Oryctolagus cuniculus: one gene and its partners. The main gene of each other region encodes a partner of the protein of the gene in region 2 in a complex. Links are inferred from orthologs where the notes say so. Each region holds a gene or a part of one and is shown on either strand. Other genes may lie near its edges.

What was found. Proteins that work in one complex are often made in the same cells at the same time.
Region 1: the proteins of ARMC8 (region 2) and GID8 are in contact, whole or in part, in a cryo-EM structure (PDB 7NSC), measured with the Homo sapiens proteins. The link is inferred for Oryctolagus cuniculus from reciprocal best matches to the Homo sapiens genes ARMC8 and GID8. Residues at the interface, in NP_001350870.1 of Homo sapiens: Asn45, Val47, Ile48, Gly49, Asn50, Val85, Ser89, Met92, Arg127, Arg130, Arg161, Tyr162, Tyr166, Leu200, Ser201, Tyr202; in NP_060366.1 of Homo sapiens: Ile83, Ala84, Asn87, His90, Pro91, Glu92, Leu94, Asp95, Thr96, Tyr101, Tyr183, Glu184, Asn185.
Region 3: the proteins of ARMC8 (region 2) and glucose-induced degradation protein 4 homolog are in contact, whole or in part, in a cryo-EM structure (PDB 7NSC), measured with the Homo sapiens proteins. The link is inferred for Oryctolagus cuniculus from reciprocal best matches to the Homo sapiens genes ARMC8 and GID4. Residues at the interface, in NP_001350870.1 of Homo sapiens: Glu309, Pro310, Asp311, Val312, Asn371, Glu373, Arg406, His409, Arg413, Ser414, Val415, Gln416, Arg419, Thr420, Gln423, Asp424, Val444, Ser448, Cys451, Asn452, Leu455, Phe457, Ala483, Val486, Asn487, Trp490, Met493, Asn494, Phe497, Gln498; in NP_076957.3 of Homo sapiens: Leu104, Ile105, Pro106, Pro107, Pro108, Pro109, Ile110, Gln114, Pro115, Gly116, Val117, Ala118, Thr119, Gly125, Gln146, His147, Tyr154, Cys156, Tyr158, Phe174, Glu176, Phe239, Val241, Pro242, His244, His292, Ser293, Ala294, Pro295, Ile296.

Annotation. Positions count from the first base shown.
Region 1 is NC_091442.1:703,259-706,664, forward strand, and holds the end of GID8 (glucose-induced degradation protein 8 homolog), read right to left. Parts: intron 3,059-3,406; coding exon 2,862-3,058; intron 2,207-2,861; coding exon 2,009-2,206; intron 1,193-2,008; coding exon 1,019-1,192; 3' UTR 519-1,018; downstream 1-518. UniProt on the Homo sapiens protein: Core component of the CTLH E3 ubiquitin-protein ligase complex that selectively accepts ubiquitin from UBE2H and mediates ubiquitination and subsequent proteasomal degradation of the transcription factor HBP1.
Region 2 is NC_091435.1:143,472,152-143,475,712, forward strand, and holds part of ARMC8 (armadillo repeat-containing protein 8), read right to left. Parts: coding exon 3,561-3,561; intron 1,672-3,560; coding exon 1,471-1,671; intron 1-1,470. UniProt on the Homo sapiens protein: Component of the CTLH E3 ubiquitin-protein ligase complex that selectively accepts ubiquitin from UBE2H and mediates ubiquitination and subsequent proteasomal degradation of the transcription factor HBP1.
Region 3 is NC_091448.1:66,470,255-66,473,815, forward strand, and holds part of glucose-induced degradation protein 4 homolog, read right to left. Parts: intron 272-3,561; coding exon 164-271; intron 1-163.

The DNA of each region.
Region 1 (3,406 bases), on a different chromosome or scaffold from region 2:
ACCTGGTGCCGTGCGAAGATGGCAGCAGACACCTCACCACCAGTGCCCGAGGGATGCTGGCCCTCGCCAGTCAGGAGCGGCTTGGCTGCCGGCAGCACTTCTCTCCAGCACGCCAGGGCACGCAGGGGCAGCCAGCAGCAAGCACCCGAGGACGGTCCCGGTATGGCGCTGCCACCTCCGCCAGACACACGGTGCCTCGGCGGTTCTGGGCCCACCCACAACCGGCTTCCAGCACTGCTCCAGCGAGGTCCACTCCAGGGGTCCACAGGGCTGTGCTCTGGGCTGCACGAGCCCCACCTCGCGCCTGTGAGCAGGCACCAGTGGGTGCCCGGAGGGGGACACTTGCCCAGCTGGGGACAGCGAGGCGGGAGCTGAGAGGCCGGCACCGGTGCTGCAGTAGGGGGCACTTGGGCTGCTCCCGTCAGGGCCGGGGCCCCCCGCAGGTCCTGGGTGACACCACCGTCACCACCACAGTGTTCTGCACTCCCGTGAGGCCCCAAAGACAAAAGGCTGCGTGAGATGATTCAAACTTTTATTTCCAACAGAACTGCCTGGCAGAGACGGCTCGCCGGTCCACTAGGAACGCCTCTCACCACACACAGCACCAAAATATATATATTTAAAAAACTGAAACCACAGCCCAGCCCTCACACACACCCGGGCCGAACTCAAGACCCTCACGCGGAGTCACCTTAGAATTAGGATTTACAAATTTATATATTCTTTCCTATGAAAAAACAGAGAAACAAACAAAGGAAGGAAAACTTGCAGACGCGGGCCGGGTGAGGCAGGAGCCCCGAGGGCCGGGTGGCCTCCAGGCCCGCACACGGCCGCGCAGGGCCCAGCGCCGTCGGCTGAGGGTCCCCGGGAAGCGGCACAGGGCAGGCCGAGCCCGGCGCCTCTCCGCAGCCCTGCAGGTGGCGTCCTCCCGCCCCGAGGGCCGCGCTTCCCTTTAGAAAGACGCTGGGTCGGAGAACAGCACGGGGCCGAGGGGTGGCTCCCGCGGCGTGGCCGGGCCCTACTTGGGCTCCTCGATCACGCCCTTGCTGAGGTCTGTCATTTTGGGGTACTTCACTTTCTTCTGGTCCAACTCATTCTGAGCCCAGAGTAGCAGCTTCAGCAGCTTCGCCAGCTTGGGCGTCGACTCCCGATTCTCGTAGTCGAGCACCGCCTGGTTGACTTCACTCCACACCTGGAAGAGGAACACAGCCGTGTGGCCCGCACATGCGCGCAGGGGCTGTGCGCCGCCCACGACAAGCGTTTGCTCCCTGACCGTGAGCCACTTGTGGGACCGTGAGGGCACCAGCTGGGCGTCACGTCGCCCCTGCCATGACAGGTCCGTGCCAGGAGCTTCGGGAGGGGCAGCCGGGGCCGGCGCTGTGGTGCAGCAGGCTAAGCCTTTGCCTGCAGGGCCGGCCGGCATCCCACGTGGGTGCTGCTTCGAGGTCCGGCTGCTGCACTCCCAGTCCCGCCCCCTGCTGTGGCCTGGGAAAGCAGGAGACGGCCCGAGCGCTCGGGCCCTGCACCCACGTGGGAGACCAGGATGGCATTCTAGACTGCTGGCCTCAGCCGGGCCCAGCCCGGGCCGTTGTGGCCACTGTGGAGTGACCCGGTGCTCGGAAGACCTCCATCTTTCTCTGTCACTCTGCCTCTCAAATATTACAGAAGTCAGCCTCAGCGAAACACGTCAGGTGGACCGTCGGGGATGGGCGGTCATTCCAGGCCAGGACAGGGAGGACAGAGCCCAGGAAAGGAGCCGGGGCACCAGCGGGGACACGGAGTGGCCGGGAGGGACGTTCCAGAGACACCGACCTCTTTCTGGGAGGCCCCGACACGTGAAGAAGGCGTAGACGGACAAGCAGCAGCACAGGAGCCTGAACGGCGCCGGCCCGGCTGCAGCGGGAGGGCAGGTGCAGACACAGGCGGGCTCACCGCCGCAACGCGTCCCGGCCAGCGGCCCTGCCCGGCTCCTAGGGCGGCCCCTCCCCTCCGCGCCCCCCCGCCCTACCTTCTGCCTCTGCATCGTGTGCAGCAGGTCCCCGAAGGGCGACTCCTCGGGGCTGTCGAAGGCCAGCAGGGCCAGCGTGCGCTCCATCTCCGTGAGGCACTCCCTGCTCTCCTCGCCCTGCTCCGCCAGCTGCGTCTGCGCGAACTCCAGGGCGGCCTCCGTCTCGCGCTGGCGGATCAGCTCGATCAGGTGCTGTTGCTGCGTGATGGCAAGAGAGCCGGGCTCAGCAGCACCCCGCAGGGCTCGGCCCGGCTGTGGAACAGCGGGCGAAGACCAGGGCCCGCAGGGCTCGGTGCCCGTCAGGCGCCCGTCTCGGCCTGGCTGTGGAACAGCGGGTGAAGACCAGGGCTCAGCAGCACCCCGCGGGGCTCGGCGCCCGTCAGGCGCCCGTCTCGGCCCGGCTGCGGAACAGTGAACAGCGGGCGAAGCCGCCGCCAGCAGTGCCGAAGTCCCTTATGGGTGCTGACTTGGGTCCCGGCCACTCCACTTCCGATCCAGCTCCCTGCTCTGGCCTGGGGAGCAGTGGCAGATGCCCGACTGCTGGCCCTGCCCCGCGTGGGAGACTGCACAAGCCCCTGGCTCCCGGCTTCGGATCAGCCCAGCTCCGGCTGTTGTGGCCATTTGGGGAGTGAACCAGCGGATGGAAGACCTCTCTCTCTCTCTCTGCCTCTTTGTACTCAGCCTTTCAAATAAGCACGTGTATATAAAAAAAAAGATCCCATTTAAAAAAAACCCGTCTCAAAGGAAAGGCCTGTCCCCCACGCGAGTTTTCACATCAGCATTTCAACAGGAGACACAGCTTCCGGGGGGGACGGGGAGCAGGCACCCCCCGCCCGCCCGCGCGCCCGCTCACCTGCAGGTGGAAGTACAGGTACCGGTTGGTGTCCAGGAGCTCGGGGTGCAGGCTGTTGATGAGCGCGATGGCCTCCTGAATCTGCCCTTTCAGGATCATCTCCCGGATCTTGATCCGCTCGTCCAGGGTTTCCAGATCCACGCTCGGCTCGATTCCAGATTCCACGCGGAATTTCTCCGCTGCTTCCTTAAAGCCCTCTGGAAAGGAAAACCGTCCTCACTGCTGGCAAAGCCCACAGGGCGCCGGCGGGGGCTCTGCACGTGGGGCTCTGTGCACATGGGGCTCTGTGCACGTGGGGGCTGCACGTGGGGCTCTGTGCACGTGGGGCTGTGCACATGGGGGCTCTATGCACATGGGGGCTGTGCACGGGGGGCTCTGTGCACATGGGGGCTGTGCACATGGGGGCTCTGTGCACGTGGGGGTTCTGTGCACGTGGGCTCTGTGCACGTGGGGGCTCTGTGCACATGGGGGCTGTGCACGGGGGGCTCTGTGCACATGGGGGCTGTGCACATGGGGGCTCTGTGCATGTGGGGGCTGTGCACGTG
Region 2 (3,561 bases):
GACAAGGCAACTGGTTCAATGTAACTTATCATCTCTACTACAACAACAACACTATCCGGGGAAGTGCAGACACAACTTTAGTACACAGAAGTGTACCCAATTAATGCAAACATCAACGAAGGTGATTTTTAGGTCCCTTCTAACAGAAGAGACATTTCCTTAATAGTCTGTTTTCTCTTCAACATTAAACGCCAAATGAACAACTGCCTTCAGAATGAGAATTTTGAAACTCAGAATTCAGAAGCAAACAGGCTAAGCAGCAAGAAGTTGAAAGGAACATCGACCTGCTCTAAGAAAGCTAAATTTTCAAAAACCATAATTTAGGAGCCGATGCTGTGGCATAGCAGGTAAAGCTGCCACCGCAGTGCCAGCATCCCAAATGGGCACCAGTTGGAGTCCCAGGTGCTCCACACCCTATCCAGCTCTCTGCTATGCCTGGTAAAGCAGTGGAAGATGGCCCAAGCCCTTGGGTCCCTGCACCTGAGTGGGAGACCCGGAAGAAGCTCCTGGCTCCTGGCTGTGGACTGGCATAGCTCCGGCAGTTGCGGCCAACTGGGGAGTGAACCAGCGGATGGAAGACCCTCCCCCTCACCCCCCGCCTCTCCTTCTCTCTGTGTGTAACTCTTTTCAAATAAATAAATAAATCTTAAAAGAAAAAGCATAATTTAATCATTGACAGTCCTAACCCAGAGTTTAAATGGTAATACTATGAAACTCAATAAAGAAGACAGGAATAGATTGAAAAAAAATTTTTTTGATGGAGAGTAAAATAAGGTCACTCAGTCACCACCTGTAACAGAAGATTACAGATGCTGAGCCACTGGCTGAGATGCCCAAGTACCTTGGGAGTGCCTGAGTTAGAGAACTAGCCTGCTTTCCATTCCAGTTTCCTGCTTATGAACACCTTGGGAGGCAGCTGTTTATGGCTCAAGTAATTGAGTCTCTGCCACTGGTATGGGAGACCTGGATTGAGTTTCAGGCTCCTGACCTTGGCCTGATTCAACCCTGGCTATTGTGGACATACAGGGGAGTGAACCAGCAGCTGGGAGTCGTCTTTCAAATTAACAAATTAAAAAAAAAAAAAAAAAAAGATTACCCTTAACATAAAGCATGAGAATACATCAACAGAAAAATGATTCTGTGACCTTGAATAGGATTAGATGATGTTGATATAATTTCAATACCCAGCTTAAAGACTGTGCTATTTGGAGGGTTTAAGCTGGGAGTTAAGTTTACTATTTTCTTCTTTCCTGCTTATCTGCTTAGTAAAAAAATTCCCAACTATAAATATATTAAACATATTTGAATTAAAAAACTCACAAAGCAATGTAATCCATGTAACCAAAGATAAATGACTCCTCTATTTAAAATGTTTTTGAGCTGTAATGATCAATTGGTTCAAAGTTGTGAGCAGTAAGAAAAACTTATTAAAAATCCTCTTGAACTACTGAAAAGGAAAAGCAAACATACCCTTTTAATATCAGTGATGGCACTCACTGAGCTGGGATACTTGAAATAATCAGCAAGCATGGCAATGAGGTGGTCAGTTATGCTAGCGATTCTCTGCAGCTCAACATCTGGCTCAATCAGATAGGCGAGTGTTTCAGCTCCTTCAACTCTCTCCTCTAGCAATCTCTCCTTACTGCACATTCGAACCAAACAAGGCAATGTCTGAAAGGCAGTGAGATCAGTTATTTGCTTTCTGGTAAAGGTAGAATCTTGAAGAGTATATTAAGACTGAATCAACTCAATGGCTTTCACTGGGAGTCATGTTTGTATTTCTTCTATTGATTCTCAATAATAAAAGATTTTTCAAAAAGCAAAAACAAAATTCAGTACAGATTAATCATCTGTGCTAGCACTCTAAACGACTCATACATTCAACTATATGAACAGAATCTCTTAGTTAGGCTTTTGTGATCAGTTCAGATTGCACCTTATCGAACAACCTTTTAAAAGACATTTAAGAATCCCTAACAGATCATATCTGATGGTTCTGCCCCATCTTTGTGTTTATTTACCTAAAAGAGATCCAGCAATTGAACCAGGAATGATTTTGCCCAAAAAGTATGGAATCTTTTCCTTAGTGAGTAATATGGTTGGGATGACTTTTTTAGTTTGAGAATTAGTATCTATAGTTGCAAAAACAAAACACAGCTTTAACAATTCAGTACTTTTACCATTTCTCATATTCCACATGTTATTCTAAAATGTGAGTGACATGCATTGATCACAGCTGCTAGGTTTTTCAAAGAACTTGCTGGAGTGATTACGGTATCCAATAATCCAATTTCTCTCCTGAGGTCCTTCAAACATCTTGGCACTAGTCCTGGTAATTTATCTATATTAGTTTCTGAATAACAACATCTCATGTATTTACTATTTTTAAGGCTTTAAGGAATAATGTGGAAGTAGATATTAAAATTTTACAACAGGAAGCTTTCCTCAACTACCACCATAATCTCTACCACAAAATTTAAACTTTATTTCTCACTATTGATTTCCTATTAGGCTAGTTCAGGTTTTACAACTCAATCTTAGCTTTGAAGGGGGAGGTCCTACTCTCTTGGTCCTAACATTCCTAGTTACTAATAATTATCAACACCATAAATTCATGTTTTACTGAATGTACTGCCCTCAAGTACATCATAAAGAAGATACTACCAACCCATTTTACCAACGAGGAAGAAAGGAGGGCTAAAGAAGTAAATAAGCCAGGCTCACTTGTATGAAAGACGTTAACACTCAATGCAGAGCTGCTTATTTAGGGAATTCCTTAAATCTCATTAAATGAACTGACTCTATCAGAGACTGAAGTGATCTTCTCAAGGCTCTCTTATCTTTTACCTTAACTCACATTCATAAAATGACACAAGATCAATGCATTTATACTTGTTTTGTTCTTTATAGCTATGAGACATCTTAATGTAAATTATTTAATTTATAGTTATCCTTATTATAACCCTAGGGGATAGCTGAGCAGGAATTACTGCCCACATTTTCATAATGAAGAATCTGGAGCCACCAAAAGAATTGGGCATCAAGCAGGTCAGTGGTGGCAGTGCTAAAACCAGAATCCTGGTCTCAGGACGTTTACGACTGGTCTCTTCTCCAGGTTTTCTCAGTTTAGACAGCATCTGACATACCACAATAATAATAATAATAGTTTTCAAGTCTATCTATTAAGTCTCACCACTGGCTCTGAGAGTGACATAGTCTTCATATGTAGAGCTAGTAAAGTGCCTACAAAACTGCACTTCAAACATAATGAAAATTATAGATTATAATATATTTTCTACTTCACTTGAATTTCATATACTTTCAGATTTCCGTTTTCTAATTATCATAAAATGAAAAAGTTGTGATAAGAAACAAATCATTTTGCTTTACTATTGAAAAACACATCGAAAATTAACTTTTAAAAACTGTAAAGCAAGCACATTTTATGCCATGTACACATCTATAATGATAAATACATAAAAAGTGAGAATGCTATTATACATACTCAATACTTATAGAACTGTAATTCCCATGTTTCCAGGGAGACTTCATTAGCTTACC
Region 3 (3,561 bases), on a different chromosome or scaffold from region 2:
TTTCTGAAGAGAGGCTGGCAGGACCCGGGGCAGCGGGCTCAGCTGTTCTGGGACCTCGTGGCCACTGGAGTGGAGGGAGCTCTGTCCTTGGCAGCCACACAATGGGGAGTCTGGAGTTCTCAGGGTGTGCCGGCGGTGCCGGGGACGCCGGAGCGCGACTCACCCAGTGTTTCCGGTCCACATCTTCGTCCGCATCCCACTTGCGAGTTAGGAAAGGGTGCTTTTTGCTGATTATTTCTCCTTCAAAGAAGGTCGTGAGGGTCGGATACTCCTACGGTGGAAGCCAGACATGAGGACAGGGGTTGCCTGAGCCTCTCACCCTTCCCACCAGGGAACCGACCCTGCCGGTGCGGCTTCCCAGCGCTCAGACACGCGGGCCGCGCCCACTCACCGCCTGTGCGGGAAACCCAGCTCACAACGTGCACGGCCGTCTCCCCCCGGCCAGAGCAGCCCACTGCTCCCCGGCCCGGCTCAGCTCAGCCCTGTGGCCCCTCCGGTCCAGCTCTCTGGAGAGCAGCACACTGCTGCCGGGCCCGGCTCAGCTCTCCGCCCCCGCAACCCAGGGGGTACACCTTCTGGCAGACACCCCCACCCCGGGGGCCAGATCTACCAGGGCTACCGTGTTCATTTTGTCGTATGCAGCGTGAAACCGTGACCCTGAAGCATCCCAGTGCTGATAACTGAGCTGTCCCATGCTTAATTAGCCTTTGAAGTGCTTTGTAGAACACATAATTTTATTTTGCTATTTGTTCATGTGCTAATGAACAGGCATGAACGATTTGGGGGAAAAATCACCCTAAGAGAAAGCTCATTAAAAAAAAAATCTGCCATTTCTCTGCATTTGTCAATGCCACCCACCTAAAAAACCAAACCAGCCCCGGGCCTGGCTGGCCACGCCCCTGCAGCTCCTCAGGAGTGGGCTGCCCGAGATTCCGGCACGGGAACTGCAGGCGAGGGCCCCAGGACCACAGAGGTGCGGCCATGTCTCCCCTCCGGGCCCCACAGAAGCCTCTCTGATCCTGCACAAACACAGCTCAGGACCTGCCAGGGAGCCGCTGCCACCATGCAGCCCCCGGCTCGGGGCTTCCAGGACACAGGACGCCACCGCCGGGCCTCAGCTGGCTGACAAGGCCTGCTCTGGGAGGACACCCAGCGCCAGGGGCTCTGAGAGTGCACCCTGCTTTCTTCTGAGAGGCTCACTGGTGTCTTTATTCCAAAGGCAGAGAGAGAGAGAGAGAGAGAGAGAGAGAGAGAGAGAGTGAGTCTTCCATCCACTGGCTCACTCCCCAAATGGCCACAATAGCCAGGGCTGGGCCAGGCTGAAGCCAGGAGCCAGGAACTTCTTCCTGGTCTCCCATGTGGGTGCAGGGGCCCAAGGACTTGGGTCATCTTCTACTGCTTTCCCGGGGCATAGCAGAGAGCTGGATGGGAAGTAGAGCAGCTGGGACTTGAACTGGTGCCCATATGTGATGGCGGCACTGCAGGCGGCGGTTTTACCCGCTTTGCCAGAGCGCTGGCCCCCGACCAGTGATTCTGCATGGATGTCTCTCTTCCAAACTCTTCAGGTAGTGTTTTAACAGGTGACCCCACCCCAGGTCCTCCAAACTCTACAATTAAACAATGCACAGAAGTCACCAGAAGGATAGACAGTGTCCCTCCATCCATGCAGTGAACCAAGCTTGGATCAGAGTATTTAACCAAAACACAACACAATCACAGCACTGCTGAACAAGTACAGATTTTTTTTTTTTTGGTGACTGTTTCCTAAACAATACAACTATCCCCACAGCACTGCGTGGCACTGGGTGCACGCCATCTTAGAGGGAACTTGGCGCATACAGCAAGAGGCACCAGGGCTTGGAGCATCCGCGGATGTCGGCTGCTGCAGTGCCCGTGGGTACCAGTGGACGACTGTACTTCTTGGGTCAGGCCCTGGAAATTCAAGCAGTGGACTCCAGCCAAACTGGGGATGACTGACAGAGCCAAGGAGAGCCCGCGGCAGCACCAGGAGTGCTGTGGCCAACCCCATCCCCCAGGCAGGCTTTGCCTGCCACGGGCAGACGCTGAGGTCGCCCAAGCCACGGGCTCCGGGCTCACCCGGAAGGGGCAGTGGCTGCCTGGCCTCCCCCGCAGACCCGGCTTGTCAGGGAGGGGCGCTGAGTGAGCTGATATGTCAAGGAGAACTCCATTCCCTGTCCTGCGGAGGAGCCGGCACCCGTGACGCAGTAGTCTCCGGTGGGTTTGGTTGCTGTGTGGTTCGGGTGGTCAGTCTCGCTGCTTTGAGCAAGACTGGCACAACCTCAGCTGCAGCTTCCAATCCCACCCCTGACCATGACCCCTCCCACAAGGCGGGCTCCAGGAAAGCGCTCCCCCCCCAAACGTAGGCATAGCACACTATTCCTTACAGCTTTGGGTTTTACTTTCTAGGGGACACATAAACACACTTTAAGACATAATTTATCTCCCAGTTAAAAATTTTCTGGGGGCCGGCACTGTGGCGTAGCAGGTAAAAGCTGCCGTTACAGCACCAGTTCCAGTCTTGACTGCTCCACTTACGATCCAGCTCTCTGCTATGGCCTGGGAAAGCAGTAGAAGATGGCTCAAGTGCTTGGGCCCCTGCACCCACGTGGGAGACCTGGAAGAAGCCCCTGGCTTCAGATCGGCACAGCTCTGACCGCTGGGTTTGATACCCGGTTCCAACTCCTGACTCCAGCTTCTGGCTAATGTAGACCTTGGCGGGCAGCAAGGGATACACTCAGGTGACGGGGTCCCTGCCACCCACTGGGAAGCCTTGGATGGTGCTCCTGCCTCCTACTGCTGCCGTCCCGGGCTCAGCTGCTGCAGGCACTCGGGGAGTGAGCCAAGGGATGGAAGCTTTCTCTCGTTCTCTCAAAAAATAAAAAAACTATACACACACACACATATTTAAAGTTGGTTCAAAGAATGTAAAACACTTTACTCTTACACAGCAGACTGGAAACCAGTCACTTTCATGGTTCCAGTGAACTATGGGGTTTAAAGAACTTCAGGGACCAGCGCTGTGGCGTAGTAGGCTATCCTCCGCCTGTGGTGTTGGCATCCCATATGGGCACCGGTTCTAGTCCCGGTCGCTCCTCTTCCAGTCCAGCTCTCTGCTGTGGCCCGGGAGTGCAGTGCAGTATGGCCCAAGCACTTGGACCCTGCACCCGCATGGGAGACCAGGAGGAAGCACCTGGCTCCCTGCTTCCGATCGGTGCAGCGTGCCGGCCGTAGCAGCCATTTGGGGGGTGAACCAATGGAAGGAAGAGCTTTCTCTCTGTCTCTCTCTCTGTCTAACTCTATCTGTCAAAAAAACAAAAAACAAACAAAAAAACCCCACTTGTGACACCCACATCCCATACTGGGTGCGGGGGCCTGGATTCAGCTCCTGACTCTGCTTTTGATTCCAGCTTCCTGCTGCACACCCTGGGAGAAGGCCGGCGATGGCTCAGACACCTGAGTTTCCGCCACCCACGCGGTGCACCTGGATTGAGTTCTTGGCTCTCACCCTCGGCCTGGCTCAGCCCCAGATACTGTGGGCAT